Linked DNA regions of Lonchura striata. The protein of the gene in region 4 purifies or fractionates together with the protein of the main gene of each other region. This does not show direct contact. Links are inferred from orthologs where the notes say so. Each region holds a gene or a part of one and is shown on either strand. Other genes may lie near its edges.

Evidence for each region.
Region 1: the proteins of DBN1 (region 4) and HOMER3 purify together in Homo sapiens (co-immunoprecipitation; 3 studies listed by BioGRID and IntAct, counting the BioPlex papers as one, with this or other methods). This does not show direct contact. The link is inferred for Lonchura striata from reciprocal best matches to the Homo sapiens genes DBN1 and HOMER3.
Region 2: the proteins of DBN1 (region 4) and TMOD1 purify together in Homo sapiens (co-immunoprecipitation; 3 studies listed by BioGRID and IntAct, with this or other methods). This does not show direct contact. The link is inferred for Lonchura striata from reciprocal best matches to the Homo sapiens genes DBN1 and TMOD1.
Region 3: the proteins of DBN1 (region 4) and GSN purify together in Homo sapiens (co-immunoprecipitation; 3 studies listed by BioGRID and IntAct, counting the BioPlex papers as one, with this or other methods). This does not show direct contact. The link is inferred for Lonchura striata from reciprocal best matches to the Homo sapiens genes DBN1 and GSN.

The regions. Positions count from the first base shown.
Region 1 is NC_134630.1:7,419,498-7,426,390, forward strand, and holds the start of HOMER3 (homer protein homolog 3), read right to left. Parts: upstream 3,009-6,893; 5' UTR 2,555-3,008; intron 1-2,554. UniProt on the Homo sapiens protein: Postsynaptic density scaffolding protein. Binds and cross-links cytoplasmic regions of GRM1, GRM5, ITPR1, DNM3, RYR1, RYR2, SHANK1 and SHANK3.
Region 2 is NC_134642.1:47,768,823-47,775,992, reverse strand, and holds the start of TMOD1 (tropomodulin-1), read right to left. Parts: upstream 3,003-7,170; coding exon 2,883-3,002; intron 1,056-2,882; coding exon 899-1,055; intron 1-898. UniProt on the Homo sapiens protein: Blocks the elongation and depolymerization of the actin filaments at the pointed end. The Tmod/TM complex contributes to the formation of the short actin protofilament, which in turn defines the geometry of the membrane skeleton.
Region 3 is NC_134624.1:9,499,097-9,506,233, forward strand, and holds the start of GSN (gelsolin), read left to right. Parts: upstream 1-4,120; 5' UTR 4,121-4,184; coding exon 4,185-4,319; intron 4,320-5,423; coding exon 5,424-5,625; intron 5,626-6,129; coding exon 6,130-6,284; intron 6,285-7,115; coding exon 7,116-7,137. UniProt on the Homo sapiens protein: Calcium-regulated, actin-modulating protein that binds to the plus (or barbed) ends of actin monomers or filaments, preventing monomer exchange (end-blocking or capping).
Region 4 is NC_134617.1:3,198,560-3,206,489, reverse strand, and holds the start of DBN1 (drebrin), read left to right. Parts: upstream 1-4,924; 5' UTR 4,925-5,024; coding exon 5,025-5,110; intron 5,111-7,930. Other genes in the region: PDLIM7 (PDZ and LIM domain protein 7), read left to right, coding at 4-184, 340-460, 932-1,047, 1,327-1,413. UniProt on the Homo sapiens protein: Actin cytoskeleton-organizing protein that plays a role in the formation of cell projections. Required for actin polymerization at immunological synapses (IS) and for the recruitment of the chemokine receptor CXCR4 to IS.

The DNA.
Region 1 (6,893 bases), on a different chromosome or scaffold from region 4:
GCTGGAATTCCAGAGTTAGTTAAGTAAAGTCTGCTGGAATTCCAGAGTTATTTAAGGAAATTTTGCTGGAATTACAAAGTTAAGGAAAGTCTGCTGGAATTCCAGAGTTAGTTAAGGAAATTCTGCTGGAATTCCAGAGTTATTTAAGACAATCCTGCTGGAATTCCAGAGTTATTTAAGGAAATTTTGCTGGAATTACAAAGTTAAGGAAAGTCTGCTGGAATTCCAGAGTTAGTTAAGGAAATTCTGCTGGAATTCCAGAGTTATTTAAGGAAATGCTGCTGGAATTCTAAGGCATGGAAATTCTTCTGGAATTCCAGAGTTATTTAAGGAAATTCTGCTGGAATTCCAGAGTTATTTAAGGAAATTCTGCTGCTCAATATCCCCATGGGACCTCCAAGGCCACCCTTTAATCTCAGGAGTGAAATGGGAATTCAGGAATTTTGGGGTGGAACCGTCTGGCTGGGCAATGGTTTCTGCTGCCCCACCAGCGAGAATTCCAGATCATTCCAGGTACAGCAACAATTCCTGCATCCCAAATTTTCCTCCAGGCGGCTCCGGGGGTTTTCCAGCGACTTTGCAGATGGCAGGAGAAAACAGGGACACAGGGATTTCACCTGGATCAGCACATCCCCTGCCAGCTTCAAAGGCTTCTGCCAGCCTCACATTTCTGTCACTGCTGGTTCCTGCCTCATCGCTCCCTCTAGCTAGTCCAAAAATAACATTTTTTTTTTTTAAAAGGAAAAGGGAAAATTAAAAAAAAAAAAAAAAAGAGGAAAATAGGAAATTTATTAAAAAAAAAAAAAAAAAGGAAAAGGGAAAATTTTATCAAGGAAAACAGGAAAAAATCTTTAAAAGGAAAATAGAATTTTTTAAATAAGGAAAACAGAAAATAATAAAAAAAAACAATCCCGCTCCCAAAATCCCATTGCCAAAATCCCGCTCCCAAAATTATTCTCCTAAAATCCCACTGTCAAAATCCCACTCCCGAATTCCCTCTCCCAAAATCCCACTGCCAAAATCCCGCTCCCAAATTCCTTCTCCCAAAATCCCATTGCCAAAATCCTTCTCCCAAATTCCCTCTCCCAAAATCCCTCTCCCAAATTCCCTCTCCCAAAATCCCTCTCCCAAATTCCTTCTCCCAAAATCCCATTGCCAAAATCCTTCTCCCAAATTCCCTCTCCCAAAATCCCTCTCCCAAATTCCTTCTCCCAAAATCCCATTGCCAAAATCCTTCTCCCAAATTCCCTCTCCCAAAATCCCTCTCCCAAATTCCCTCTCCCAAAATCCCTCTCCCAAATTCCCTCTCTCAAATTCTCTCTCCCAAATTCCCTCTCCCAAATTCCCTCTCCCAAATTCCTTCTCCCAAATTCCCTCTCCCAAATTCCCTCTCCCAAATTGCTTCTCCCAAATTCCCTCTCCCAAATTCCCTCTCCCAAATTTCCGCTCCCAAATTCCCTCTCTCAAATTCCCTCTCCCAAATTCCTTTTCCCAAATTCCCTCTCCCAAATTGCTTCTCCCAAATTCCCTCTCCCAAATTCCCGCTCCCAAATTCCCTCTCCCAAATTCCCTCTCTCAAATTCCCTCTCCCAAAATCCCTCTCCCAAATTCCCTCTCTCAAATTCTCTCTCCCAAATTCCCTCTCCCAAATTCCCTCTCCCAAATTCCTTCTCCCAAATTCCCTCTCCCAAATTCCCTCTCCCAAATTCCTTCTCCCAAATTCCCTCTCCCAAATTCCCTCTCCCAAATTCCTTCTCCCAAATTCCCTCTCCCAAATTCCTTCTCCCAAATTCCCTCTCCCAAATTCCTTCTCCCAAATTCCCTCTCCCAAATTCCCTCTCCCCGGTTCCCGTCCCGGCAGAACCGCCTCGGCTCCATCTTCCCGCCCGCAGTCCCGAGGAATTCCCAATTTCCGAACTCCGGGAAGTTCCCGGCGCCGCCCGTGCACGAGTCGCGGCCGCTCGCCGTTCTCCGCTTCCCCGCCCCAAAAATTAAAGGCGAGGCGAAACTTTCCAGCTCGCAACGCGGCAAAAAAATAAAACCCCCAAAAAAGCGCCGATCAAGCCTTGAATTCGTGCCTGAGAAGCGGCTCCGGGCCGTGGGCACGGAGAGGAACGGGAACGGAGCCCGGCGAGGAACGGGAACGGAGCCCGGCGAGGAACGGGAACGGAGCCCGGCGAGGAACGGGAACGGAGAGCGGAGAGGAACGGGAACGGAGCCCGGCGAGGAACGGGAACGGAGCCCGGCGAGGAACGGGAACGGAGCCCGGCGAGGAACGGGAACGGAGCCCGGCGAGGAACGGGAACGGAGAGCGGAGAGGAACGGGAACGGAGCCCGGCGAGGAACGGGAACGGAGCCCGGCGAGGAACGGGAACGGAGAGCGGAGAGGAACGGGAACGGAGCCCGGCGAGGAACGGGAACGGAGAGCGGAGAGGAACGGGAACGGAGAGCGGAGAGGAACGGGAACGGAGAGCGGAGAGGAACGGGAACGGAGCCCGGCGAGGAACGGGAACGGAGCCCGGCGAGGAACGGGAACGGAGCCCGGCGGTCTCACCCCATCCCCGGCGGCCGCGATCCTCCCGCGCCGCCTCCTCCTCCTCCTTCTCCCCTTCCTCTTTCTTTCTGTCCTTCTCCGGATCCGGATGCTCTTTAAATTTCCTCCGGAATTTCACTTTGAAGCGTTGCTGCAGCTGCTGCTCCGCGGCTCCGGGAGCGGCTCCGGCACCGGGAGCGGTCCCGGGATCGGCACCGGGGAGTGGTGCTGGGAGTGGCACCGGGAGCGGTACCGGGAATGGATCCGGGAGCGGCTCCGGCACCGGGATCGGCACCAGCACCGGGGAGTGGTCCCGGGAGCGGCTCCGGCACCGGGAATAGCCCCGGGAGCGGTACCGGGAGCGGTACCGGGGTCGGCACCGGCACCGGGAGTGGCCCCGGGAGTGGCTCCGGCACCGGGAGCGGTACCGGGATCGGCACCAGCACCGGGGAGTGGTTCTGGGAGTGGCACCAGCACCGGGAGCGGTCCCGGGATGGGCACCGGCACCGGGAGCGGCCCCGGGCGCTCCGGGCTGTGCCCCGGCGCTTCTCCGCCCGCTGCCCGGTTCCGTCCGGCCCGGCAGGGAGCGGCCGGACGGAGCCGGTGCCTGTCCACGCCTTTTGTCCCCCCGCACCGGGCGTTCCCTCCGCGGGCACCGCGGCCCGGGCTCCGCGTTGCCCGGTCCCGCCGGTCCTGCCCGGTCCCGCCGCTCCCTACCCGCTCCCTGCCCGCTCCCGCCGCCCCATCCCGCTCACGTTTGGCCGCTTTTCTTCTCCCGACTTTATTCGCGGCGCCGGCAGCACCACCTGCCGGGACAGGAGCCCGGTGCCACCCCCGGGACGGCGGGGACAGCGGGGACAGGAGCCCGGTGCCACCCCCGGGACGGCGAGGACAGCGGGGACAGGAGCCCGGTGCCACCCCCGGGACAGCGGGGACAGGAGCCCGGTGCCACCCCCGGGACGGCGGGACAGGAGCCCGGTGCCACCCCCGGGACGGTGGGGACAGCGGGGACAGGAGCCCGGTGCCACCCCCGGGACAGCGGGGACGGCGGGGACAGGAGCCCGGTGCCACCCCCGGGACGGCGGGACAGGAGCCCGGTGCCACCCCCGGGGCGGCGGGGACAACGGGGACAGGAGCCCGGTGCCACCCCCGGGACAGCGGGGACAGGAGCCCGGTGCCACCCCCGGGACAGCGGGGACAGGAGCCCGGTGCCACCCCCGGGACAGCGGGGACAGAATCCTCGGGGTTCCCTGAGCCCCAAAACCCTCTGCCCCCCAAACCCCCTCACTCACCCCTGGAATCCAGAATTCCAGCCTGGCAGCACGAACATGAGTGAGAGAACCCCGGGTGTGATAATACTAACCTGGGTGTGATAACCCGGGTGTGGTAACACCAGTGATAACCCGGGTGTGATAACCCGGGTGTGATAATACCAGTGAAAACCCGGGTGTGATAACCTGGGTGTGATAACACCAGTGATAACCCGGGTGTGATAACCCGGGTGTGGTAACACCTGTGATAACCCAGGTGTGATAACCTGGGTGTGATAACCCGGGTGTGATAACCCGGGTGTGGTAACACCAGTGATAACCCAGGTGTGATAACCCGGGTGTGGTAACACCTGTGATAACCCAGGTGTGATAACCCGGGTGTGATAACCCGGGTGTGGTAACACCAGTGATAACCCAGGTGTGATAACCCCGGGTGTGGTAACACCAGTGATAACCCGGGTGTGATAACCCAGGTATGATAATACCAGTGATAACCCGGGTGTGATAACACCTGTGATAACCCAGGTGTGATAACCCCAGTGATAACCCGGGTGTGGTAATACTAACCTAGGCGTGATAACCCCGGGTGTGATAACACCTGTGATAACCTGGGTGTGATAACCCAGGTGTGATAATACCAGTGATAACCTGGGTGTGATAACCCCGGGTGTGATAACCTGGGTGTGATAACCCCGGGTGTGATAACCCCAGTGATAACCCGGGTGTGATAAAACCTGTGATAACCCCGGTGTGATAACCCAGGTGTGATAATACCAGTGAAAACCCGGGTGTGATAACCTGGGTGTGATAACACCAGTGATAACCCAGGTGTGATAACACCTGTGATAACCCAGGTGTGATAACCTGGGTGTGATAACCCGGGTGTGGTAATACTAACCTGGGTGTGATAACCCCGGTGTGATAATACCAGTGATAACCCAGGTGTGGTAATATCAATTCAGTATTTCAATTCAGGATTTCAATTCAGGATTTCAATTCAATATTTCAATTCAGGATTTCAATTCAGGATTTCAATTCAATATTTCAATTCAGGATTTCAATTTAGGATTTGAATGTAGGATTTAAATTTAGGATTTCAATTCAATATTTCCATTCAGGATTTCAATTCAGGATTTCAATTTAAACCGCTGAAATGCAAACTCCTGCAAGGATCGCCCATCTCTTCCAGGAGCAGAAAAATCTCCAATAAACACCAAAATCTGTCCCCAGCTGTTGCTTTTAAACCCAAAATTCCTTTTTTTTCCCCACACATGCTCGAAGTTCCCCTCCAGAACGGCCCCTGAGCCACTTTTCTGTGCGGCTTTACAGAAATTAATCCTGCAGCGCTAAAAATACCCCAAATTCACCTTCCACTTTCTGTTTAAAGCAGCTCATTAAAGCCTCCCCGTGCCCCTGGGGCTGCTGCTTTTCCAGGAAAATTGAAATTATTCCTCACTGGCCGGAGCCTTCCCCTCCATTTCCCCCCATTTTTTCTCCTTTTCCCTTTCTTTAGCTTCTCAAAAGGATTTTCCCCTGCTTTTTTTTTTTTTTTTTTTTGTCCTAATTCGACCTTTTCCACATCTCCCTCTGTCCAAAAATGTCATAAATCAAATTTCAACCGCTGAATTTATTTATTGCCGAGGTGAGGCCACGGCTCAGGGGGGAGAAGCTGAAATTTCAGCTTTTCTGAGCCACTTTTTCTTTTTTCCAAGTGAATTTTCCCTTTTCTTGGGTGGGAATTACCCTGAGTTGCTGCTCAGGAAAATCCCAGGACAGAAAGGCACAGGCAGCTCATTTCCCCCCATTTTTACAATTCTGAGAAAGCAGAAATTTGATTTTTATAATTTTCACATTATACTATATTATACTATATTTCATTCTATTATAATCACATTATATTTTACTATATGTTTATATTAATTATATATTACATTACATTATATATTAACTATATATTGTATTAATATTATCATAGTATATAATAATATATATAATATTATTATTAATATTTTATTATCCTATTTAATAATAAAGAAATATAATCGGGTTGTATTGAACAATAACTCCCAAAGCAGGAGTTACCACCCCAAGCCCAAAGCCAATATTTGTAATTTCTGACAAATAAATAATAAATAAACGTGATGAAAGAGAAATGAATACGTAATATAATAAATAAATAGAATGAAACGGAAATAAATGCATCCTAGAATAAATAAATGTAATGAAATAGAAATAAATAGATAATAAATAAATGGAATGAAAGAGAAATGAAGCTACCATAAATCAGCACAATTCAAGCTAATACAAGGAAGGTGCTGCAGCAAATCCTCCCCAGCCCAGCCAATTAGCCGGGATTAATTAGGCCGGGATTAATTGGGCCGGGTAATTAAAGCTCCCGGGAGGGCGGGGCCCGGCCTCGGGAGGGGACAGGGGACAGGGATGGGAGAGGGGACAAGGGACAAAGAGGAAATGGGGACAGGGAAGGGGACAGGGGAGAGGGGACAGGGATGGGGACAGAAAATGGGACAAGGAAGGGACAGAGAATGGGACAGGGATGGGAATGGGGACAAGGACAGGGATGAGGACGGGGACAGGATGGGACAGGGATGGGGACAGAAAATGGGACAAGGAAGGGACAGAGAATGGGACAGGGATGGGAATGGGGACAGGGACAGGGATGAGGACGGGGACAGGGGAGAGGGGACAGGGACAGAAAATGGGACAGGGATGGGAATGGGGACAGGGAAGGGGACAGGGATGGGGACGGGGACAAGGGACAAAGAGAGGAAATGGGGACAGGGATGGGGACAGGGACAGGGATGGGAATGGGGACAGGGGAGAGAGGACAAGGAACAGAAAATGGGACAAGAAAGGGACAGGGGACAGGGATGAGAGAGGGGACAAGGGACAAAGAGGAAATGGGGACAGGGATGGGGACAGGGGAGAGGGGACAGGGATGGGGACAGAAAATGGGACAAGGAAGGGACAGAGAATGGGACAGGGATGGGAATGGGGACAGGGAAGGGGACAAGGATGGGGAGGGGACAAGGGACAAAGAGAGGAAATGGGGACAGGGAAGGGGACAGGGA
Region 2 (7,170 bases), on a different chromosome or scaffold from region 4:
CATTTTCATGCACTTCTTTTTCATACTGGACAACCATTAGCATGAACAGCACACAACTAGATCTTCTGCTGCAGGGGGATCACAGTACAGAGAGAGACATAACAGCTAAGAAAAGCTGCTGGGAAGCTCCTGGAATGCAGAGGACTGACCAGACCATGTCCCATGTCAGATGATATTTGGAGTTCTAACAGGAACAGGAAAGTCATTTGGATAATAGGTCATAGTCATATACAAGGAGAACAGCAAAAGATGCCAGAAGGAGAGGAAAAGAAAAGAGGCAAAGGAAAACCCCTGCTCAAAGGTCATGCAGAGCAGGAGCACAGCAGCCACTGCAGGGTATGGTCCAGGAAGACACAAACAAGCAACCAGCAGGAGATTAGGAAATAAGGCTGGGGCTGTCAAGAGATGATGAAAACTAGATGGGAACTGCTGGGCCTCATCACAGCTACAGAGAGCTGTGAAGTTTCTTTATGGTGAGAAGCTCACAGAGTCAAAATGGAGTGTGAAAGGCAAAAGTGAAACATGGAGCTTAACATGAGGACCTCACAGGAGAACAGGGCAAGGAGGGACAAGAAAGGACAGAAGATGATTTCTTTCCCAGAACCTGATACAGATGCAGTGGCATGGGGATGGGAGAAGGCTGCACAGGGGTACAACTTCTGTCCAGCATTTAACAACATATCAGATGGTGCCCAAATAGACAGCACAGGGACCTCCTGGGCATTCCTCAGTTTATCAGCCAGCCTGGGCTCAGGCTAGGCAGCAGAGAGAGTAGATTCACCACCCCAATAGTGTCAAAAAGAAGTTTTATCAACACAGTTCAGATATAACCCTTCTGCTGTGCACCCACTATGCCTTCAATGTGATGCATCCAGGACGGTGCAAAGGATGACCATACCTCTCTTTTCACCTGTGAAAGGAACCAAGTCTTCTCTGTCTTTAATATCCTTTGCCTGCTTCTCTAGATGGGCCATGAGTTCCTCCCTTTTGAATGGGCCAGTTGGTGGCTTTTGTGTCTGATCCCGCTGCCTGAGCCCTGCTGGCAACAGTGCATTCTAGACAAGAAGGTGAGAAACACAGGTTATCTCTGCAGGCTATACTCCCCATCCATGAAACACTCTCCCCTCATTGCACTACTCTTCTTCCACAGTGTTGGACAATTTGCTACTCCTTGTCTCAAAGGTTATCTTTGTCCAGCCCCACTGATTCCCACATAATTCAAGATATGTGATGCGCCTTTCCCCCTTCAGTTTCAAATGCTATCCAGTAGCTGTTTCTCTGCAACATCAACTCCAGCCCTTTCCTTCTGGAAGCTCTCACCCATCTTCCCCCCACTATACGAGTCTGTCCAAGTGCCCACAATGCCCCACGTGTCCCAACAAGAATCACTTCAGTTAAATCTCATGATCTTTCACAGAGCAGATCAGAGAGTTGTGGTGGTTTCTTCTGCTTTTCAGGATCCATCACAAAACTACACAGAGGGTCTCACAGAAAAGATCAGATGGTTGCAGAGCAAAACCCCTGTGGATTCCAGCTCTTTTCCAAGCTGCCTCCTTTGTTATTCAGTCACGTAAGCCTCCACGGGAAGTTGGTTTGTGCTTGACACATATGGCATGTAAACACCTGCTTATATTTAAATATAGAACAGCCTTAATGCAGTAAGTAAGACTATTCCCAGATTTGACACTAAGCATGTTCTTTAAGGCTTTACTGGATAGAAGTCAACATTTACTTTTTAAGATATCCAAGGTGATGCTGAACAACACACTTATTTTTCCATGCCTGCCTGATAAAAGTAGTTAATTATAATTTATATCTGTATCAATTAAAAGCCTGGGAAGGAAAATTACTAATAGGAAGCAACTGGACCCAGGCAGCCCTGGAGGGCAAGAGAAGTGTGTGAATTGCACAAGCAGGGAGGCACAGGAGACAGCTTGCTTCCACAAGTTTCATGGTGTGCGAGGCAACTATGCAATCTTCAAGCAGACTACACCTGCACTGACAGAGGCCCATAATTATTTCACCTTTCTTCATCTTTCACAGAGTGCTGCCTGACTCTGTGTCTTCGTGCTTCGTGATAGTTGCAACCAGCCCATCAGTCCATACGCTTAATCCTGGGAGCCAATTTGCCAGGTCTCAAATATTTTCCGGCATTACAATTAAAAATACTGATGATGCAATCTATGGCACCCATCATTTACTCCACAAACACTAACTGTCTGTTGCAGGAGCAATTTCTCACTTGGCAGTGCCCAAGCTCCTCGAGTAACATTGCTGTAAGCCAGAGGCCAGCCAGTTGGCTCTGCACATCCCCTGCAACAGGACAGTGCTGACTTCAAAAACCTTTCACCAGTTTGGCACCAGCAGACCCCATGTTTGCGTATGTGCAGCTCCTGCTGATGCTAGGGGGTTGCTAAAAATAAACTTTCCCACTTTGCAAAACTCTGGGGTTTGGATTTCTACCTAAATGGAGGAAAATACAGGGCATTTGAAGTTTGTTACAAAAAAACCCGAATCCAAAACACAAAAAAACCTCCAGAAAACCCTCAAACCAAGCAACCCGCAAAGCATTCCCTCTAAGGTGGTCTGCTCAGAAATAGGGATCCATTTTCCACAGGATTACTGCACTGCAACCAGCACTGGCTCATATTGCTGCTGCAAGTCACAGTTGCTCATCACATTGGGAAAAGACCAGGAGAACAGAAACAAAGATAAACATGTAGACTGTGCTTCCAATGGCAATTCTACAGCCAGTCTCTTCCACTCTTGCTCCAAGTACAGGCTCTGCAAAGGATCCCACTGAAATACCAATTACTAATGCAGCCCACTCCCCCACAATTACTAAGATTCACGACCTAAAGTCTTGATTAAAAATTACTTACATCAGGATCCAGCTCTTCCAGCTCATTCTCTAACTTCCTGAGCTCCTCCTCTGTCAGAGATCCAAGGATCTGATCTTCATCTAGGTCTCGGTATTTTTCTAGCTCCTTTCTGTAAGACATCTTAGAGGAGTCTCGTGGATCTCACTTTTATGCTGTAACAGAACCTGACAGGAAAACAAGAAGCATTAACACTGAACACATGAAGCATGGTGCTGCAGCCTGCCTGGCTGGGGAGCACTGAACACCTCAGAGCTGGAGATTTATGCTTAAAGCATAGCTGATTTCAAAAGATTCTCAGGGCCCCCCTTTCATATCCCATATGCACATAACCACCCATGGAGGTGAGAGCAGTGCAGCTCTGGTAGCACATTGCCCCACCACAGATTTACCAGACAGGACTGAGGAAGTTCTTGGTACAGGACCCTGGCTAGGGATGTCTTTCTGCAGGCAGAGCTAGATGTTACTGAAGCATCCTGGGCATTTATTTCTTTGAAGGACAATAAACTGTATGTCATGAAGTATACAGGTCTCACGTCCTTACAAGTCCCCAGTAACAACACGCTGCACATGGCACTCCAGATAACATGGTTACCAGATGGGAAAACAGATTTGTAGCACCACTGAGTACCTCTGAGCCCTGAAAACCTCTTCGAGGCTACAGCGTGTGGCACTTCTTCCCATGTTTTAAAGCCACAAGGAGATCAGGAAGTATTATCCACTCAGGTTCAGGAGGCTGCCAGTTAAATGTGCTATTTAGTGACCCACCTTTGCTGAGACAACACACGTTTGCACTGTTGCCAGCTAAGCAGCTGACCTGTGTGCTACTGCATGTTCTAAACCTATCCTTCAAGAAAAGAAGTGAATGGTCTATCTGGATAATCCCTGCTGACCCCAAGGTTTGGTCCATGTCACCTAATATCATGTGTCATACACAATCATATGCATGTAACTAGACCTCTGCAAGCAAAAAGACTGCAGAGAAAAAGGTCAATGTGTTTAAAATATGCAGGTGGGTTAAAAGTACACTCAGTATAACACACAAAAGCATATCCAACTCTGCTCTTTTGATGACAGTCTCCTTCTGCTCCACAGCACTGCCTGTACATTTATATTGTGTTGGCTCCATTTTTGCAGAGAATACTGAGTCCTAGATAATTTAAAGTGATTTTTCTTAAAGTGTTGCTATCCTTTTGAGTGACATTTACATTAAAAATAACAGCAAGGCCTGTGTATTTTTTAGGGAACCAAGCATCTTTTGAGTTTCTATAAATGGTCTCTTTTCAGCTCCTGTGAAACATCAGAGCCCTACCCTGAATCACATCTTTCCAGCTTTGCTTGCCTCCTCAGGACAGATTATGCTCTTATGATCACTCTTCATTAGTGGAGAAGTTTCTTTAGACGAGTTACAACACAGCTGCTGTTCCAGATAGGAAAATTATCTTTAGCTTGGTCACAAAAGGGCACAGTAATGCACACACACTTGCTCAACAGCAAGCCCTTAAATTTAGAAGCTGTCATATTGTCAGACATTTGGTTCCCCACTAGTGTGATGGCAATTCCTGCATCATTCACATTCCTGGCACTCACCACTTAGGAGGTGAAGTGCGAGGAGATGGTGCATTCTTGATGGGAGAAACAGCCCCTGAAGCTCCCTCATCTGGGAACTGAGAGGGTGAAAATCAGTTTTTCACTGGGCTGGTTTGCTCCAAGGAGCAGCCATCAACCTGTGGGCACCAGAGCCAAGGGCAGCCATGAGGGTGAGGAGGAAGCAGGAGTGGTGGGGCTCAGTGAGTGAGGGAGGTGGAAGGAACCCCACAGTTCCGTGAGTGAGGGAGGTGGAAGGAACCCCACAGTTCCGTGAGTGAGGGAGGTGGAAGGAACCCCACAGTTCCGTGAGTGAGGGAGGTGGAAGGAACCCCACAGTTCCGTGCTTCCCCAGCACCCTGCAGCCCCCAGTGCGGGGCTCCCTGTGCTGCGGGGCTGGTGGGCAGCAGCCACATATCAGCCAGCCCACGGGCCATGTCCAGCAGCTCAGCCCCTGCAAGCCTGCCCTTCCTGCAGGCACAAAGAAGGGCAGAGCCTTTACTGCAATTGCCCATAAACACTGAGGTGGGAGATCCTAGAAAAGCAGCCTGGACTTGGATCTGGATATGCACTGTGCTACTGTGGCCTTAGATTGCATTGCATGAGCCATGACTAGCCAGGATTTCATATGCCATATGTAGTTTTCACCATTCTGCCATGGAAGGAGCTGGAGCTAGGAGCAAGCAGAAAGGCAGAGAATAACCAACCCCAGGCTGCTAAATTCTCTATAATGGCTTAAAATACCCACACCTGCCACACACATGGCAGTATCTGTCTTGGCTATATGAGGACAACTATTCCCACAGATAGCCACAGACCTTTCCCAGAATGCAGGCAAGACTGCAAGCAGGGGCCTGTCTGGGACCAGAGCGCAGCCCCGCAGGGTGACCTTGTTGCCTCCCTCCAGAAGGACAGAGATGTCAGCACCGAGAGGCAGGACAGACATGGGATGTCAGTGCACACAGGCAGTGCTTCTGGAAAACGCCTCAGGTTTCAAAGCATCTTGCAGAGATATTAAGCTGAGGCTGCATATAGCAAAGGCCCTGAGGGTTGAGGACAGGTGCAGAGCCTGCTGAAATGCAGCTGAAATCCCTGTTGGGGGAATTTAATTTGCTACATACCCCAAAGAGAAATGCTGGGGGGCACAGTGCCCTCCCAGACTTGCTGGAGCAGCCAGATAGTGCTGGCACCTTGCACATGTCCCGCAGAGAGCACACCGAGAGGACTGCTCATCAGGAGCACCAGCCTTGCCCATAGCAGCAGGACATTCTGTACTGCTCCCCTGCCTGCAGTGCCAGCTGTTCAGCATAGTGTCCTCCAGCACAGCCTCCAGGACCAGTATGTTCACTGGCACTCCCTTATCTCCACATCCCAGGCCTCTTCTACCCTGTCTTGCTAATGAGTGCTGGGAGAAGAAAGCAAACCAGCCCATCTGCTGTAAATGGAAGAGAGCTTTGAACTGCCAGTGATAAGAAAGAACACAGGTCCCACCTTCACCTGAGCTCAAACTAAACAGCAAGGTCCTTCAGCACAACTTGAGTTCTCACTCTTTTTCATTAACCCTATCACTCTTAATTCAACCAACTAAGGAAGCATCACAAAAGAATTTAAGTGCAACATACATATACTGCACAGAACTGACACTGTTGCAACTTTAAGTCCTCAAAACATTGAAATTCATATAGATTACAAAGACAGCAAGATATTAGGTCTCTTTGTAGTACTTTGTGTACTTGTCAGTTATACAGGAAGACAGCCCAAGCACTTGCACTTGATAAATCCAAACAGCACACAGGTTGGAATGCACAACAATCATTAAAATTGTTAAAGGAGAAAAATTTAATTGGCTGGGAGATAATAAAAGGTCATCTACAGGAAAGACTGTTCTCACCATGAATATGGGAAAACAAAACCAAACACAACAACATTCTGATCATGAGGGGGATAGAACAGTTTCTTTCTGAAGGGTTCAAAAGTGCTGAGCAACCAAATGGATGCTGAAAATAAGTGAAAATTAAAAGCATCCTGTATAACACTGGAAATAATTCTTTCACAGTGCTTTGCACTGGTACAGCCCCCTGCAGCACCATGACCTTTTTGGGGTGCAGAAAACTGACAGCAGCACAGGGAAGCAGTGGAAATCCATCTGGGAAAGCGGCCTACGTGGGGCCCACTGTTTCACCACCAGCCGAGGGCAGGCATCAGCACTTGGTTGTGCTCTTCAGGTGGGCAAGCAGGGAGGGCAACAGCAGGGCAGCAATGGGCTTGGGCTACAGCAGGCTGCTCAGGAATGCTGTGGAGCAGCACCCATACTGCTGAGTCAAAAGGCCTGCTGAATTATCCCTCCGTGATCCAACAGCTCCAGGAAAAAGAACAAATGCAGAGAGGAAAAACTGGGTAAAGAGACAGGAACAACAGCAAGACAAATTTCAAGAAAATACAAAAATGTCACAGTGGAAGCTGGGGTGCAGTGTCAGGCATGCCATGTGACACATGCTGTGTGACATCTGGCACACGCTGTGCCGGGCAGCCCAGCACCTCCCCGCACAACCTCCCAGCATGCCAACACCAGGACTGCATAGAAAGCACTTCCCTTCATGAAAATGTAGGGAGAAAGAGCAACTAAGCTCAGCAAAGGTGCAGGGCTTTCCAGGGTTAAATTCTGTTATCAGTCCAAGCCAACCCTGGCTCCAGGGGTCTGCAC
Region 3 (7,137 bases), on a different chromosome or scaffold from region 4:
TGAACTTTCTTTGTGTTCAGCAGCATCACGTCCTGAGTTTTGGATTGTCAGAACTCAAGTGGTTCTGTGCTGCTCACCCTCACAAGCTTTGTAAATCCATCAGAGTTTTTATGGGGCAGCAGCAGATCACAGAGTAAAGAAATGGCTGCATGGGCAGTCAGACAGTGTAGATTGTGTCCAAAGTGCACAAAGGGCTGAACCTGAAGCAAGGAGATAACTTGATTGGGTTTTTGTTCCTGTGATCTCTTCAGCATCGCTGTTATAGACCTGGGGAACGCAGCCCTTGCTCTGGGCTGTTACTGTGGCAAGCACAACCTGTAGATTTCCTCAGACTGATCATGCCAGGGAGATTATACCCCTTTGCCTCTTGCAAAACAAGGATTTAGGGTTTTCCTGTTGTTGCAGCAGCAATACAGCAGTAATTTACCTCTTCTGGCTCTTGGTACAGGCAGCCTGGAATGCTGTGAGATAAGGGAGGCTTTCTTTTTTGAGAACATATATTGTTGTTTATTTGGAGCAGTTCATATTCTCCAGGCAATGTTTGGCAAATAAATAAAAGGAAAGAGAGAGTTAGTTGGGTGGAAATGCAAATGTTTGCCCCCAAGGTACAATAAGGATTGGTATATGAGGGGCATTTTTGCAGCATGACTGTAGTGTGGATACAGACTCTACTCAGATTTACTGTTCTCATGTTTAAGAAACTCAGTCTGTATTTGCAAGTTATTTTGATGTTCTGCAAGTGTCATCCATTAAAATCAAAAATACAGCCTTTGCCATGTAGAAAGGCAGGAATTGATCCAGCAGTGAGCAGCAGGTGGTTTGGATGCTCTGTGGTGAAATGTTGTGTTGGCTGCAGCCCTTCCTGTGTGGGTTTTGTTTATGCAGCAGATTTAGACAAATTATCTGAACCCATCACGAGTCGACGCCGGAGCTGCAAATGAGCACAACCACATGGGGATGTGGGCTACCCTTGTTTCTGTCTCATTTAATTCAGCCAAGCTTTCCTGAGCAGCCCTGTGCAGGTAAGTCCTGACTATATTTGTGGGTATATTCAGGCATGAATTGCCACAAATTATTACAAATATGAATTGCCACAAACTATTACAACTGGGCCTCACAAAAAATGTGCTCATTTTTCTCTTGTTAGTAGCCAGTTGCCAAATGAAATAAAGATTTTTTTTCTTTCTTTCCCTGCTGTGAGTATTGGGTGATATTATCTTGTAGAAAGTGAGTTTAGCAACATCATTAAGCTTTAGATGGTGGTAGGCGTGAAGATGTGAGAGTGGATTTGACGTGGAGGAACCACACATTAAATATTATTATTAATTATGGATTTTGCAGTGTGGTGAGGCAGAGTAAGAGATTCCAGGCTCAGTGTCTGCAGGTTTTTCCTGAAGGGAACAGGAGATTCCTCTCAGCATGGCTGTGCTGGGCAGTGCAGAACTGGGCAGCTCCTTGGCAGAAATTCAGAGGAGAGTGAAGACAAACAGCCAAAGTGCTGCTGGTGTCAGGGTGGGAGGGCAGAGGAGACTGTCACAGCTGAGAGGGAGGCACGGCCACAGGGATGAGTGAGCAGAGCAGAGATGAAGAATTTAGGGAGGGAGGCAAAGAGAGCTGTGTGTTACAAGCTGCAGGCTGGAAGTAGGAAAGGTGCTTTGGGTACCAGGAGCCAGGAGCTGAGTCCCGGGTGGGAGGCGGTGGGAGCTGCAGCAGCGCTCAGGGCTTGCCCAGAGGATGCACAGCACGCCCGGGATTGCCCTGGGGCCTCTCTGCCTTTCCTGGCCTTCCCCCGGAGCAAACAGCCTCCAGCCTCGGGAGATCACTGCTGCTTCCCTGGAGCAGCAGCTCCAGGCTGCCCGTGGTCTGTGGGCCCCACACGGACTTTGTCAGTGTGAGCTTTTCCTGTTGGGTGCCCAGCAGTAAATCCCTGGGATTGTTCCTGCAGGCCTGACTCCCTCCCAGGGCATTCCTGGGCTGGCCTGTCCTGCTGGTGTGACCGCACATCTGGAGACCATAATGAGCTTGTTGTCTTCCAGTGGTTGCTCAAATCGTTGGACTATTTTTCCCCAAGTTCTTGTTTTCATCACTATGAAGCCAAGTGTCATTTAGCCGATCCATCTGCACTGAAATCCTGTATTTCAAGCACTTTCCTTGTTTTCCTTAAACAACTTTCCTTTGCATAAGAGGTTGGCTGTGCATAGCACCATTTCTGGGACCAAGCTGGACACTTTTATTAACAGCAGCTTTGAAAAGTGCCTGCTTTCCATGTCTCCATCCGGACACCCTTTTCAGTAGAGCCCTGGCGATCTCAGCTGGCAAGTGCCCTTAGAACAATGTCCAGGGTAAACATTTCTGGGGCTTGATTTAACAATGCAACACTTGCTGCCAGCAGTGATAACCCAAACCAGCTGCTGGGGTAGATTTACACCTATTCCCTTCAGGAATGGCTCAGATTAATTAATTTTATGAAAGAAATATGCAATTTATGCACTGTAGCCCTCTCTCAGTTTTTTGCCTCTATTTATATATTGCAGTTAATTGGCAATGCAAGCTTGGGCTTACAAAATGCCAAATTAATTAGGAGACTAAATAAATGTTTTTTCAAAGATATTGTGCCTGCATATATCTGTGAATTACAATATCCTACAGTGGGATGTTAATGAAGGAGATTATCCTGGGTCTTTGTGCCTTCAGTCTGTGAGGTTTGCCCAGATGTGGGACTATACAGGTATTTAATTTAGAAATAAAAAGTCCAGAGTATTTTTCCATTTGGAAAGGACCTATCTCTTTCTAATGTTATGCAACACAGTCATTTTGGTTTGGGTTTGCTGCAGCTGCCAAAGCCTTTCACAGCTGCCTTTCTTAGAGTCAAGGTTCCAACATGTTTTTCAGTGAGACTTAGACCTCTGACACTCTGAACTTCCTTCACAGAGATCAGAAATACCAACAGGACTAGCACATTGTTTTTATTGTCCGTTTCAGTTTGAGACTTTCCAGTGAGATTTTCAAAGGTACATTGCCAAGGTGACAGTTCAAATTAAAATGCATCAGCTTGCACAAGAGAGCAACAGAGTGCTCTTGGGAGAGAGGGAAAGAAAATACCCTCATGGAGAGTGGAGAAAGCACAAAGCAGGGTCTGCTCTTTCCTTCCTGGAAGTTTTATTGTGGAGTTTTATGGGTGGAGGGTTTGGCCCCTTATTTAAGAATCTTTTGAGAGATTCTGACCGTGGAAAGCTCAGCCTGTCAGGAATTGTCCCCTGGGTGTGTTCAGAGCCCAGTGGCAGGACTCCACATTGTGTGGCTGCTCAGTTCCTGAGGGCCACAGGGAAAGGCTCCTGCTCACTTCACTCGCTGCAAACACTTGGAGAACGTGATAGTTGAACTTGCTGCAGTGTGAGGTATTGGAAGAGTAATCTCTTTATTGGTGGCAGATTGTTGGGGTGCTACAATCAGCCCTGTTGTAATTCCTTTGGGCTGAGTAGGTTTGATGGCTCTTGTGTTCCTGTCACAGGGTGTTGCTACACCCTCAGAAATACTTGGTTGTGAAATTATTGAATTGCTGAATGAGCTTTTGTTCTGTCACCTACAGGACTCTGAATGCTCTGTTGTGCTCCGGGAGCTGAAATCCATCAGTGCCTCCCCAAATCCTCCCGAATTGTTCCTGCCGGTGCGGTGTGCGGGGCTCATTCAGCCCTCCTTCACGGGCTGAACCCCGCTCCTCTGGCAGCTTCAGGGAGCTGAGGGTGCATCCCCCATCCTCAGGCTGCTCAGCTCCATCCTTGTCTTCCCCAAAGTCTTTCCCTGCCAGCTGGAGCCGCCGTGCTGCTCCTCTGCGTCTCATCAACTCCCCAGCTCTCAGCTGACAAAATGCTGCCTGTGTTGCTGATGTCTCTGAGTTTCTGCCCGTGAGGGGCCGTTTGGCCCGTGTGACCCTGGCTGTGCTGTCGGTCATGGATCGCACTTCGTGCGAGCGAGCGCCTGCCGGGCTCCGGGAGAGGCTCGGCGGTTCCAGCAGCATTGTTTGCACGAACGCGTTCCGCCCCTGTGCTGCCGAGGGGGTGGGTGTGTTTGTCCCCGATAAAAGATTGGCTTCTGCCCCTCATCTGCCCCAGCAGCCAGAGGAGCCGGGAGCTGGGACTCCCCGCAGCTCGGCAGGAGCAGGGAGAAGCCCTTTGCTCCTAGAAATGGGCAGGAAGGACTTGAGTTACCTTTTCCTCACCATTTTCTGCACAGTGGCTCTGAAGCTGAGCTCTGTCAGCTCCATGTCTGTGGCAGGGCTCGGATATGTTGTTACAGCAGCTCTTGTGCTTTCGGCTGTGGTAAGTGATGGACATCACAATTAAACGCTGAAAAACTTCTGCTTCCAGCTACTTACAGGAATCCATCTCCTTCAACTCTTTGTCAGCGTTTGCCCAGTTTTAGTGGGAATTTGGGAGGATTCAGGCAGGCTGGAATCATGGTGATAAAGTTAATTCTTTTCCATCTTTGATATCTGATTTCAGCTTAGGAATCACTTTGATACCTAACTTACTATTTTGCTTTCTAGCTTGTAACATTCTTTATTTCTGCCTTGAAAACTGAGCATATTTTACTTTTGTCCATCAGCTGCTGTGAACCATCTTCTTTGTCAAAGTACTGAATGCTTCTAATGTAGTATTGTAATGTTTTCTTCCCTGTTACCTGATAGCTCTCAAAGGCATGATGTGATCAATGGACAGTCTTCATTGCCAATACACCAGAAATGTTGTATTTCCTTCCAGAATTAACAAAGTGAATTATTTTATAAGAAAGTGTTCATTATGTTTGTTCGAAAATAAAAAAAGGATATTGCACTGTGTTGATATATTGCATAAGTATGGCAATAAACATATTAAACCAAAATTGCAGTGTCCTTAGGGCAGGATGTTGTGTAAATTAATGTAATTCCTACAAGGGAGGAGTTAAAATAACAGGTCAGAACAGAAGAGCTTTAAGAAACCTCTTAATTACCTAAATATTCAGTGATATTCACAGCATTTTCAATTTGGTTTTCTAAATATTTTTGCAAATTTTTCCAAAATTTTTCTTTCCCACAGCCTGGAATGTCAAGCTTCACTTATGTGCCATACTAAAAAGTTATAAATTAGTAAGAAAAATACAGAGATTAAAATGCAGAGAGAGAGGACAAGAGTCTCGAAGAGGATAAGCCAGTAATAAACCAAGAAGTAGAGATGATTGGAAGTGAAAATTGACAGTGATCAATGGAGAGGGATTCTTTCCACACACATCCTTATTTTTTCCCCCCTTTAAAACTCAGTGCATGAGAAAAAAAGGAAACTTTCCACTTTTTGGCTGGCACAGCAAGTTAGGAGATGAGAAGCAATTTAATTTAAAGACTTCCTTGTGTCCTGCCCACTGAACAGCACCCTCTGTCTCACCCCCAGCCTGTCAGCATGGTGGAACACGCCGAGTTTTTGAAGGCTGGGAAGGAACCCGGCCTTCAGATCTGGAGGGTCGAGAAATTTGATTTGGTGCCAGTGCCAAAAAACCTGTATGGAGACTTCTTCACTGGAGATTCCTACCTGGTGCTGAACACCATCAAGCAGCGCAGCGGGAACCTCCAGTATGACCTGCACTTCTGGTTGGGTGAGTGCTGGGAGTGTCCCTGCAGAGCTGGGACCCAGAGTGACCCCTGAGCCTCTGCTCCACCATGGCCAGGAAACGTTACCCAAGGAAATAAAAAGCAGCACAGTGAGAATGCACTGCTGGGGGTAAATAGCCCTACTCGTGTCAAATATTTGTGTGGTCTCTGCAATAGAGAGTACAGCCACCTCTGATCCTAAAACCAGCTTTTCCTGGCAATAGGACAGGCAAGTCCCTGTTCTGCAGAGGTTCACAGGGAAGGCAAGATCTCAGGTGAAGTCTGGTTCAAATCCTTTTTGCCTGAAAGGAGGGAGGTCAGGTGTGTTCCTCCTGATGAGTGGGATTTTTGCCTCTCCTAAGTGCCCTCTGCTGTCATGTCACAGAGCCTGCAAACCCCAGGCTCTTTGACAATATCACAGTTAAATCTGCTTTCTCCTCCTGTGTTTGCACAGTAGAATGCAGAGGCAGAGCCTGCATCCCCTCCCAGTGTCCCTTTCCATGTTTCAGGTGATGAAAGCTCTCAGGATGAGCGTGGGGCTGCTGCCATCTTCACTGTGCAGATGGATGAGCACCTGCAGGGGAAGGCTGTGCAGCACCGCGAGGTGCAGGGCCACGAGTCCCCCACCTTCCTGGGCTACTTCAAATCTGGCATCAAATACAAGGTGGGTGATAACTGACCCAAGTTTGCAAGAAATGGCATCCTGCCCAATTCCCAGGAGAGTGAGATTTGCCCTTTTTCCAGTTGCTTAAAACCCATTCTCAGCCAGATGTTTTCAATGAGTTGGAACTCAACAGGGTGGAGAACAGCAGATCCCAGTGGGAGAAATTTGGCTGAATTAATAATACACAAGGAAAGCCCCAGAAAGTTTTAGGAATCAAGGTTTTGTTTTTCTTCAAGAGGCAGAGGAAAGAACAGTCCCAAGGCACCTGGAATGAATTTAAGAAGCAGCAAAGTTAATGGGAAACGCCTACCCAGGAGATTTGATTTCTCCCCACTTGCATAACAGTTTGACCTTGCAGTCTCTGTGCTTAGCCCACCCTGCCAGCATGTGCAATGTTTTGGTAAAGGAGATGAACAGTAGTGGGAGTTACTCCTCCCTGCCATCACAATCAAGTGGGATAGAAGTGAAAACATGCAGTCAAGCAGTTGTGTCTGTTAAGAATCCAAAGGCACAAGGAAAGTGATATCAGGTCACATGCTTGCAAAGTGCTCACACTTCCTCATGACTGAGACTTTCCTGATCTTTCTGTTTTGTTTATTTCCCACTCGCTTGTTGTTACTTTTATTCATTTAAAGTTGGTTGTGCTTTTTTTGAGCATAACTGACATGGGTCCTGTTGCCTGCATCGATAAATAATTCCCAGTGTCTATCAGCAGAGAAAGTGAATCCTGAGCTTGGGATAATTTCTGGTAGGCAGGACAAGTTATACACAGGGGAATACACTCTTCCCCCCAGTCCTGGTATGAATCCTTGCTGCTGTGTTTCCCCCCAGGCTGGTGGTGTGGCTTCTGGCT
Region 4 (7,930 bases):
CAGGGGACGGTACCTCGTGGCGCTGGGACATTATTACCACCCCGAGGAGTTCATCTGCTGCCAGTGCAGGAAGGTGCTGGATGAGGGCGGCTTCTTTGAGGAGAAAGGCTCCATCTTCTGCCCCAAGTGCTACGACACGCGCTACGCACCCAGCTGCGCCAAGTGCAAGAAGAAGATCACTGGGGTGAGTGTCCCTCAGCCTGCCCTCCATCTCCTGTCCTTGTCCTCTGCTGTGAGTGCCTGGCTCTGTCCCTTCCCGCCTTGGTCCATCTCAGGGGATTCCTTGACCCTTCCTGCCCTTGGTGCTCCTGCCCCTGGCTGACAGTGGCTCCCCTCCAGGAGGTGATGCACGCACTGAAGATGACCTGGCACGTGCAGTGCTTCACCTGCAACGCCTGCAAAACTCCCATCCGCAACCGAGCCTTCTACATGGAGGAGGGACAGCCCTACTGCGAGAGAGGTAGGACCCAGGGGCCCCATGTGTCACCTCATGTGGCCCTGGGGCGCATTGGGACTCAGCAGCTGCACACAGGGCTGGGGGTATGAGCTGCCCTGCTCTGCAGGGCTCCCCCTGGGCTGCGGGGAGCACAGAGACCCCAATCCCACAGCCCTGAGCCCTCCACCTGGTTCTCCCTAGCTGCAGGGTAGTGCCATAGCTCCTATGTTGCCATGGCGATGAGGGAGGATGTACATCAAAGCGAGTGCTGCATCCTGGGAGATGAGGTTCTCCTCCTCCCCCTGGAGCTCTGTGTTGGCTATGCCACCCTACACCTTTCCCGGGTGTCCCAGGCTTTTTCTCACCTGAATGGGGGCTGGCAGAGTTGTCCCCAGGCTGTGCCTGTGGGATCCTGGCTGAGCTGCAGCCCTGCTCCCCTGGCATGAGCGGCTGTAGTGCATGGAAATGCTGACCTGGCTCTGCCTTTCCTCACAGACTATGAGAAGATGTTTGGCACCAAGTGCCGCGGCTGTGACTTCAAGATCGATGCTGGGGACCGGTTCCTGGAGGCGCTGGGGTTCAGCTGGCATGACACTTGCTTTGTCTGTGCGGTGAGCAGTGTGCCTCCCTCCCCGACTGTTGCAGGGCCTGTGCCTCTCCCCGACAGTCCTGCTCTGGGTGGGGTACACCAGCAGCACAGGGAACCTGCTGCCACAAGATTTGTCCCACTTGCCTCCGTTCCGGACGCCTGGGGCTCTGCTCTGAGCCTTCTGTTCCCTCGCAGTGCCCCAGGGCCATGTGGAGGTCCCTGTGTAACACCAGTGCTGGGCTGTGGGGGACCAGAGGCTGACTCAGCCCCCCGACCTGACCACCTGTACTTTCCTCCCCAGATCTGCCAGACCAACCTGGAAGGGAAGACGTTCTACTCCAAGAAGGACAAGCCTCTGTGCAAGAGCCATGCTTTCTCCCATGTGTGAGGGGTGGGAATTCAGCTGTGCCTACACATGCCCCTGGCCCTGCATGCTCCTCTTCCCCTGCCCTGCTGGCCCCAGGGAGCCAGACTGGGCCCTTGGCCCTTTCCCTTGCTTCTGCCTCTTTCCTGGCAGCTCCTGGCTCGACTTCAGCCAGATACAGTGCTGGGTCCAGAGCCTTTTATAGCTGGGTGGCTTCTTACATGCTTCTCAACTGGCCCTAGGAGCCCTGGAAAGGGGATGCTGCATGGATCTCCTGCCCCTGAGCCACGCAGCATGGTGGGTACAACCATGCTGAGGCTGGAATTGGAGGGGGTCTGCCACGGCTGGCCTGCTCCCTTGCTGCCTGGCAGCTCAGTGCTGGGGCAGGGATACTCCTTACACATCCCTGAGTGGGTGAGGACCAGCTCTTGTCTCACTCTCCCCAACCTTCCCTGCTGTGTGCTTGGGGCTGGAGACCCGGCCCTGCTCCCCTGCTGGGGCCCTGCCCATGACAACCCACCAGCCACCCTCAAACTGCAGTGGCTTCCTGCCCCAGTTGCATTCCAGGGGTGTCTGTGCCTCATGCCTCCCACCCTGCTGCCCCCCTGCTCCCCTGGGGCTGGCAACACCCCCAGCCTGGCATGGCCCAGCCGTGGGCTGGCAGCGTGTAATGATGGCCAGCCCAGTCAGGCTGCTGCTCCCGCAAGGCTTGGGCACAGCTTCCTACCAAAGAGATCTCTGCCACTGCCATCCTGGGGCCACCGATGCCTCCCCCCAAACCACACCCTCTGGTCGGGCTGCGCTGATGTAGCCACGGTGCTTTTAGTGCCTTTAATAAACACATCTCTGCAAGTGCCGGCTGTCTCCAGGCCAGTGGTTTTGCCGAGTGAGGTGTGGCCGGCTGGGAAGGTCATGCTCTGCCCTCATCCCGCTCCCTCTGGGGCCTGACTCAGCTCCTTCCAGCTTTCCAGGGAAACTCTTCGCCTCAGATTTCTCCACCTCTGCCCAGGCTTGACCTTTTGTGTCGGCTGGGTCGTCCCTCTTGTAGCAGGCAGGACCGCTAATGGGGGCAGTAATTAATCTGGGGGGCAAAATGCAGCAAGGAGAGATGGGGAAGGGGTGAGACCTTAGTGGAGGTCCTTGTATACCTGGCAGCGTCCTGAGTACTGTAGAGGGGTTGAGGAGTCGTGGGGCACGCGTGGGCCACGTGCACCAGCTCTGGGCGTTCTCCAGCGTGGAGCGGCCAAGCGTTCGCTCACACGCTGCAGCTGCCGTCCCGAAGGACGGCTGAGGCCACACCAGCACCTCCGGCTGGAACGGGCTCGAGGGCAGCGCGTGTGGGTGTTCTCCTCCCTCTCCACTCTGACAGCTGGAACGGTCATTAATAATTGCAGCTCTTGCCATGATGAGCAATTGTAAGGAAAATCGTCTTGCTCATCTACTGGAAGGTTCTGCCTGGGGCAGGAGCTGGCTGTGGGAAGCCAAATACCTCCTGGCATCACCCAGATCTGGGCTGCGGTGCCACATCTTCTCACTGCCAGTTCCAGGAGTGCAAAAGCACATCAAAGATGGGGCAAGGAAAGGTGAGGGATGAAGTCAAGCTGGGGCTGGGCCAGGCAGTCGGGCTGGGGCACGTGAGAGCAGTGGGATGGTCACACTGAGAAGCAGCAGGACATGGCACAGAAGCAGCTGGTGCCTGCCTGGCAGGGCTGGCAGGAGCAGGGCTGAGTGCCCACGTGTGAGTCCCAGCTGTGCAGCCAAGGTCAGAGGAAGCACAGGGGAAGGTGAGGTGGCTGTGGCCCCACATGGGCAGGCCCTGAACCAACCCTGGGTTGGCTGGACAGCAACCCGTGAGTGGAGGGTAGGAAAGGGGCAGGGGCAGGCAGTGGTGCGGGACGGAGCCTGCTGGGCTAGCACAGGCTGGGAACAGGTTCTGCCAGATCAGCCCCGGGGTGCCCAGCTGTGCAGCAGGGCCAGGGTGCTACAGTCAACCTGCCTCTTCCCTGGGGAGAGCCAAGCATCCCCTGGTGCCACTGCAAGGTCTGTGCTCGCGGGGGGCTTAGCTCTGCTTGGTTCCCTGTTGCCTCTGGGCCCTCCTGATGACTCCTCTACCACCCAAGGTGCCTCTGCGCTTTGCCAAGGGCATCTCTTGCCCACCAGCTCTGCGCACCATGTGAGGACCTTGTGCACAGGCAGCGGAAGGAGGGTCTCGGGTGGGCTGCGGAGGTGGAGCCTGGGGAGGGGCTGCAGCCTCGCTGCTCGGAGAACAAAGCCTGGCGGCGGTAGGCTCGGAGCTCCCACCACATCCCTGAGCGGGGTCTCACCACATCCACCCCCAAAGCCATCTGAGCCGCTTGTGGGGCGCCTGCCCCGGCCCCAGCCCCCGCGCTGGCCCCGGCAGCTGCTCCACAGCTGCTCCCAAACTCTCACAGCCTCTTAGGGCGGCTCCGGCTCTGGCCTCGCTCGGAAATGCTGGTGTGAGGAGGGCGTGGGGGGAGCGGGCGGCAGCGCCAGGACCCTCGGCACCCTGTCCCATGTCCCTCATCTCCCATGTCCCCGTGTCCCACGGGCTGCCTGAAGGGATTCTTTTGTGACGGGCCACTCCACCAACATCCCCATCCCGCAGGAATCGGGCCCTGCGTGCTCTCCATTGCTGCTCTGGCACAGAGACCCCTCCAGCGCGGTGCTGGTCCAGGCTGGGGGCAGCGCCGGGGACAGGGAATCGCTGGCAGGAGCATTAGGACCTGGCTGAGAGCCCCTTCAGAGCCCTTCGAGGGTCAGTGCAAAACCAGCTGTGGGGTCGCACAGAGGCAAAACCTCCTGAAAAAGGTGATTGAAGGGTTCTGAAAGGACCGGTGGCTTGGCAGTGGTGGGGGTAGAGGAGCAGATGGGCAGCAAAGACGCCCCCAGAAAGGCTGTGTCCAGTGACCCCTTGTGCGAGCAGTGAGGGCATGGCTGGGTGTTTAGGGCAAAGCCGACGGTGCCGTGTCCTTGGAGAGGAAACCTTGGACACGGGGGCTCGGCGTGGGGCAGCGGAGGGCACGGGAAGCCATGTGTGCCACATCCCTGGGTGTAGAGGATGTGGGGCAGGGGAGAATATGGGAATGGAGAGGACCACCCAGCACGAGAGGTCTCCAGAGTGCAAGTTCCCAGGAGGGGCAGCGCAGGATGCGTCCCCAGGGCGGAGGAGAGCCCGGAATGCGAAATCACCCGGCGTGCAGGTTCCCAGGAGGAGCTGAGCCGGGGTTCAGTGTCCCTGGGGCTGGGGACGGCCCGGAGCGCGGTGTTGCGGGGGCAGAGCAGAGCCCAGGCTGCGGGATCCCGGGGGCGAGCTGCGTGCGGGGGCGGCCCGCGGCGGGGGTGATGCTGCCCGCACCCCCGGGGTCCCGGCTCGGGGCCGGGCGGCGCGGCCGGCGGGCTGCCCCGGGGGCGCCCCGGGGGCGCGGCGGGGGCGGGGGCCGGGCGGGGGGGCGGAGGGGAGGGGAGGGGGGCCGCCGTTCGCGGCGCTAGGACCGGGCGCGGCGGCGGGCGGAGCCTCCCCGCCGCTCGCCCCTCCGCCCGGCCGCTGCGGCAGTGTCTCGGAGGCGGGCAGGCGGCCGGTCCCTCCGGTCCCCCGGCAGCATCCCGGCCCCGCCATGGCTGGCGTCGGCTTCGCGGCGCACCGCCTGGAGCTGCTCGCCTCCTACCAGGACGTGATCGGCGAGGACAGCCCCACCGACTGGTGAGCGCGCCCGCCGCCGCCGCCGCCCCTTTGTCCCCGCCGCCGCCGCCGCCCTTTGTGCACGGAGCCGCCCGGTAACACCGGCCGCGCCCCGAGCTGCGCCCCCCGCCGTCCCCGCGAGCCCCGGCACACAAAGGCGGGCGGGGCGGCGGGGGGTGTGCCCGGCTCGCCGCCCCCGGTGCCCGCACCTGCCCGCCGCACCGGGCCGGGGCGCGGTCCCCGCTTTGTCTGCGCCGGGCCGGCACGTGCGGGCGCCGGGACCCGTCGGCCCCGGGAGTCCCGGCACGGCCCGGTCCGACCCCCAGCCGGGCAGCGAGAGCGGGGAGCGGGGGAATTCGCGCACGACGGGGAGGGCCCCGTGGGGCTCCCCGGTGCTGGGCCCGGCACCGGTTCCTCGCCATTGTCTGGAGCTGGAGCCGCGGGCAGGGGCGCCGGGGCAACGGGGGATGGGGAGGGGATCGGGGCGCCCGCAGCCCGGCCCCGCTCCCGACCGGTCCTGCTCCCGACCGGCTTCACCGGTATCCCGGCAGCGGGCGGCCCCGCTGCCCGGCGGAGAGAGGCCTGAAGCCGCGGGGACACCGAGCATCTCCCGCCGCTCCCGCTACCCTGAGATTCCCCCAAGCTCCGGGGCTGCCGCATCCCTGGGGGGTCGCGGTGTGTCGGCCCGGGGTTGCCCCGCCGGGCTGGGGTTGCTGTTGAGTCGGGGAGGGGAGTGGTTCTCTCCGCTGGGACCCCCGGCTTGTCGCGCTGCCCGCGCCCCGGTGCGGGGCACCGGTTGTCGAGGTCGGCTGGATCCGGGCCCGCTGCAGGGAGCATCACCCACTGCCAGCCCACCCGCATCTCCCAGCCCAGCCGGGTGCCGGGAGGCTGGCTGGGGCCATCTGCCCCGCCATCCCCTCCCTGCCCTCCAGGGTGCCTCTGGCAGGCTGGGTGGGAGCGCTGCCGGCGCGCTGGGGCGCATCTCGCTGGGCAGTGTGGAGTGCTGGGTGCATGCTGTGCATGATGCTTTTGGTGGGGGGCGGACGGAGGAGAGCTACTGTGCACCCACCATCCAGCCAGGGGCATCCACCACCCCTCCGGGATATACCCACCGCCCATCCGGGGACTCCCACCTCCCAGCTGGGCTGCACCCACAACCCAGCCGGTCAGACGTCTGTCTCTAAGCAGGTCCTTGCTCTCAGGACAGGGCTGGGTGGGCCTGGGCAGGTCCAGGTGCCCCCAGTCCCCGGGGGTCTCCGGAGGGCCCCACAGTCCCGCTGTCAGCCCAGGGGCGCTGCGGGCAAGCGCCGTGTGTGTCGCCGGCCAGGCGGCAGCTGTCAGCCCTGGGTACATCTCGCTTCCCGGCATCCGCTGCAAAGGAGCCGTCCCTGCCAAAGCTGCTGAGAGAAGCAGAATCGGTTCCCGGGAAGGCGAGGGGGCCGGTGGCGGCTCCCCCACAAACACCTCCAACGCTGATCCCGGCCAGGCAGTGATCCCCTGGCATCCCCATCCGTGGGGCTGACTTTGGTCCATCGTCCCCAGCTGCTCCAATGTCCCCAGCCACCCCATGCCATTGTCACCGGAGCTCCTGGCACTCAGTGCCTGTGGGAACATCATCCCCTCTGCAGGGCCCGCTGCGGGGGTGCTGGATGAGGGGCGATGCTGGTGGGGCTCCATCGGGCAAGGTGATGGGGACAGTCCACGGGGAGGAGGGCCCAGACTGGCTGAGCCAGGGAGCTGCCTGGGGGGACACTGTGCCAGAGCCTGGCCCTGGGCCGCCACCGCGGAATGCCACGCTCATGCCCGCCCGGGATCCCTCGGTTTAGTCTGGGATTTCCCCTGCTCCAGCCCGGTCCTGAAGGGTCCGAGCATCCCCTCCCCCTGCCCGGCCCCGCGAAGGCTGCTGGGGCCCATTACTCGATCGGAAAGGAATTTGGTGCTGCTTTCTGAGCACGCCGACTCCCTGGAGCTCCCAGCCACATTGGAAACACATGTGCCGGGGCTGGGGCGGGAGGCTGGGGCGATGTGACCCCTCCCTGGCCGTGGCATGGGGGGTGGGCTGCCGCGGGAGCCCCGTTCCGGCGCCCGGGGATGCTGCTCTGCCTGCTCCGGTGAGCAGCGGGGCCATGCGAGGGCAGCGGGGCTGCGGTGCCTTTGCCTGGGGTGATGAGGGATCCTCAGTGGAGGCCCCCGGCTGCGGGGAGCCCCCGCTCCGGGCTGCACAGGGCATCTCCACCCACGGGTGACCCACATACCTGGAGCCCGGGGGTGGGAAAGGGCTGTATGGGTTGGGTGGAGGGATTAAAGCCATGGAAGTGGGGTAAGTGATGCATGATGCTGACAGCACCCGCTGTGACACAGCTGGTCCCCACTGCCAGGGGTTGTGGTGGTGCTGTTGGGCTGTGGGGCCCTGGGGGCACCCCTGGGGATGCTACTGGCCCCAGCACGGCTTCTCTGTCTCCTGGAATGGAAACCTCCATCCTGGCATGGAGTCAGGCTGTGCTGCTGAGCTGTGTCCACAGCAAGCCCCATCTGCCCTGGGAGCACCCCCGGGTGCAGGCAGCAGCTTTGTGTCCAGAAACCACCCAGCATGGCAGGGTTCTGGGGAAGAAAAGCAGGCAGTGGGTGCCCCCAGCACCCACAGGGCTCCCCAGGCAGTGATGCTGTAGCTCTGCCCTACTTCTTTTCTCCTGTCTGCTGCCAGCTGCATCCCACCCTGCCAGCTTCCAGCTCGCCGCCCTGGGCTCCCCCAAACTGCTGCCATTCCTCCCCCATTCCTGGGGGGACCAGGGGCTGCATTTGCCACCCTTCCCTGTCACAGACGGCACTTTGCAGCTGTTC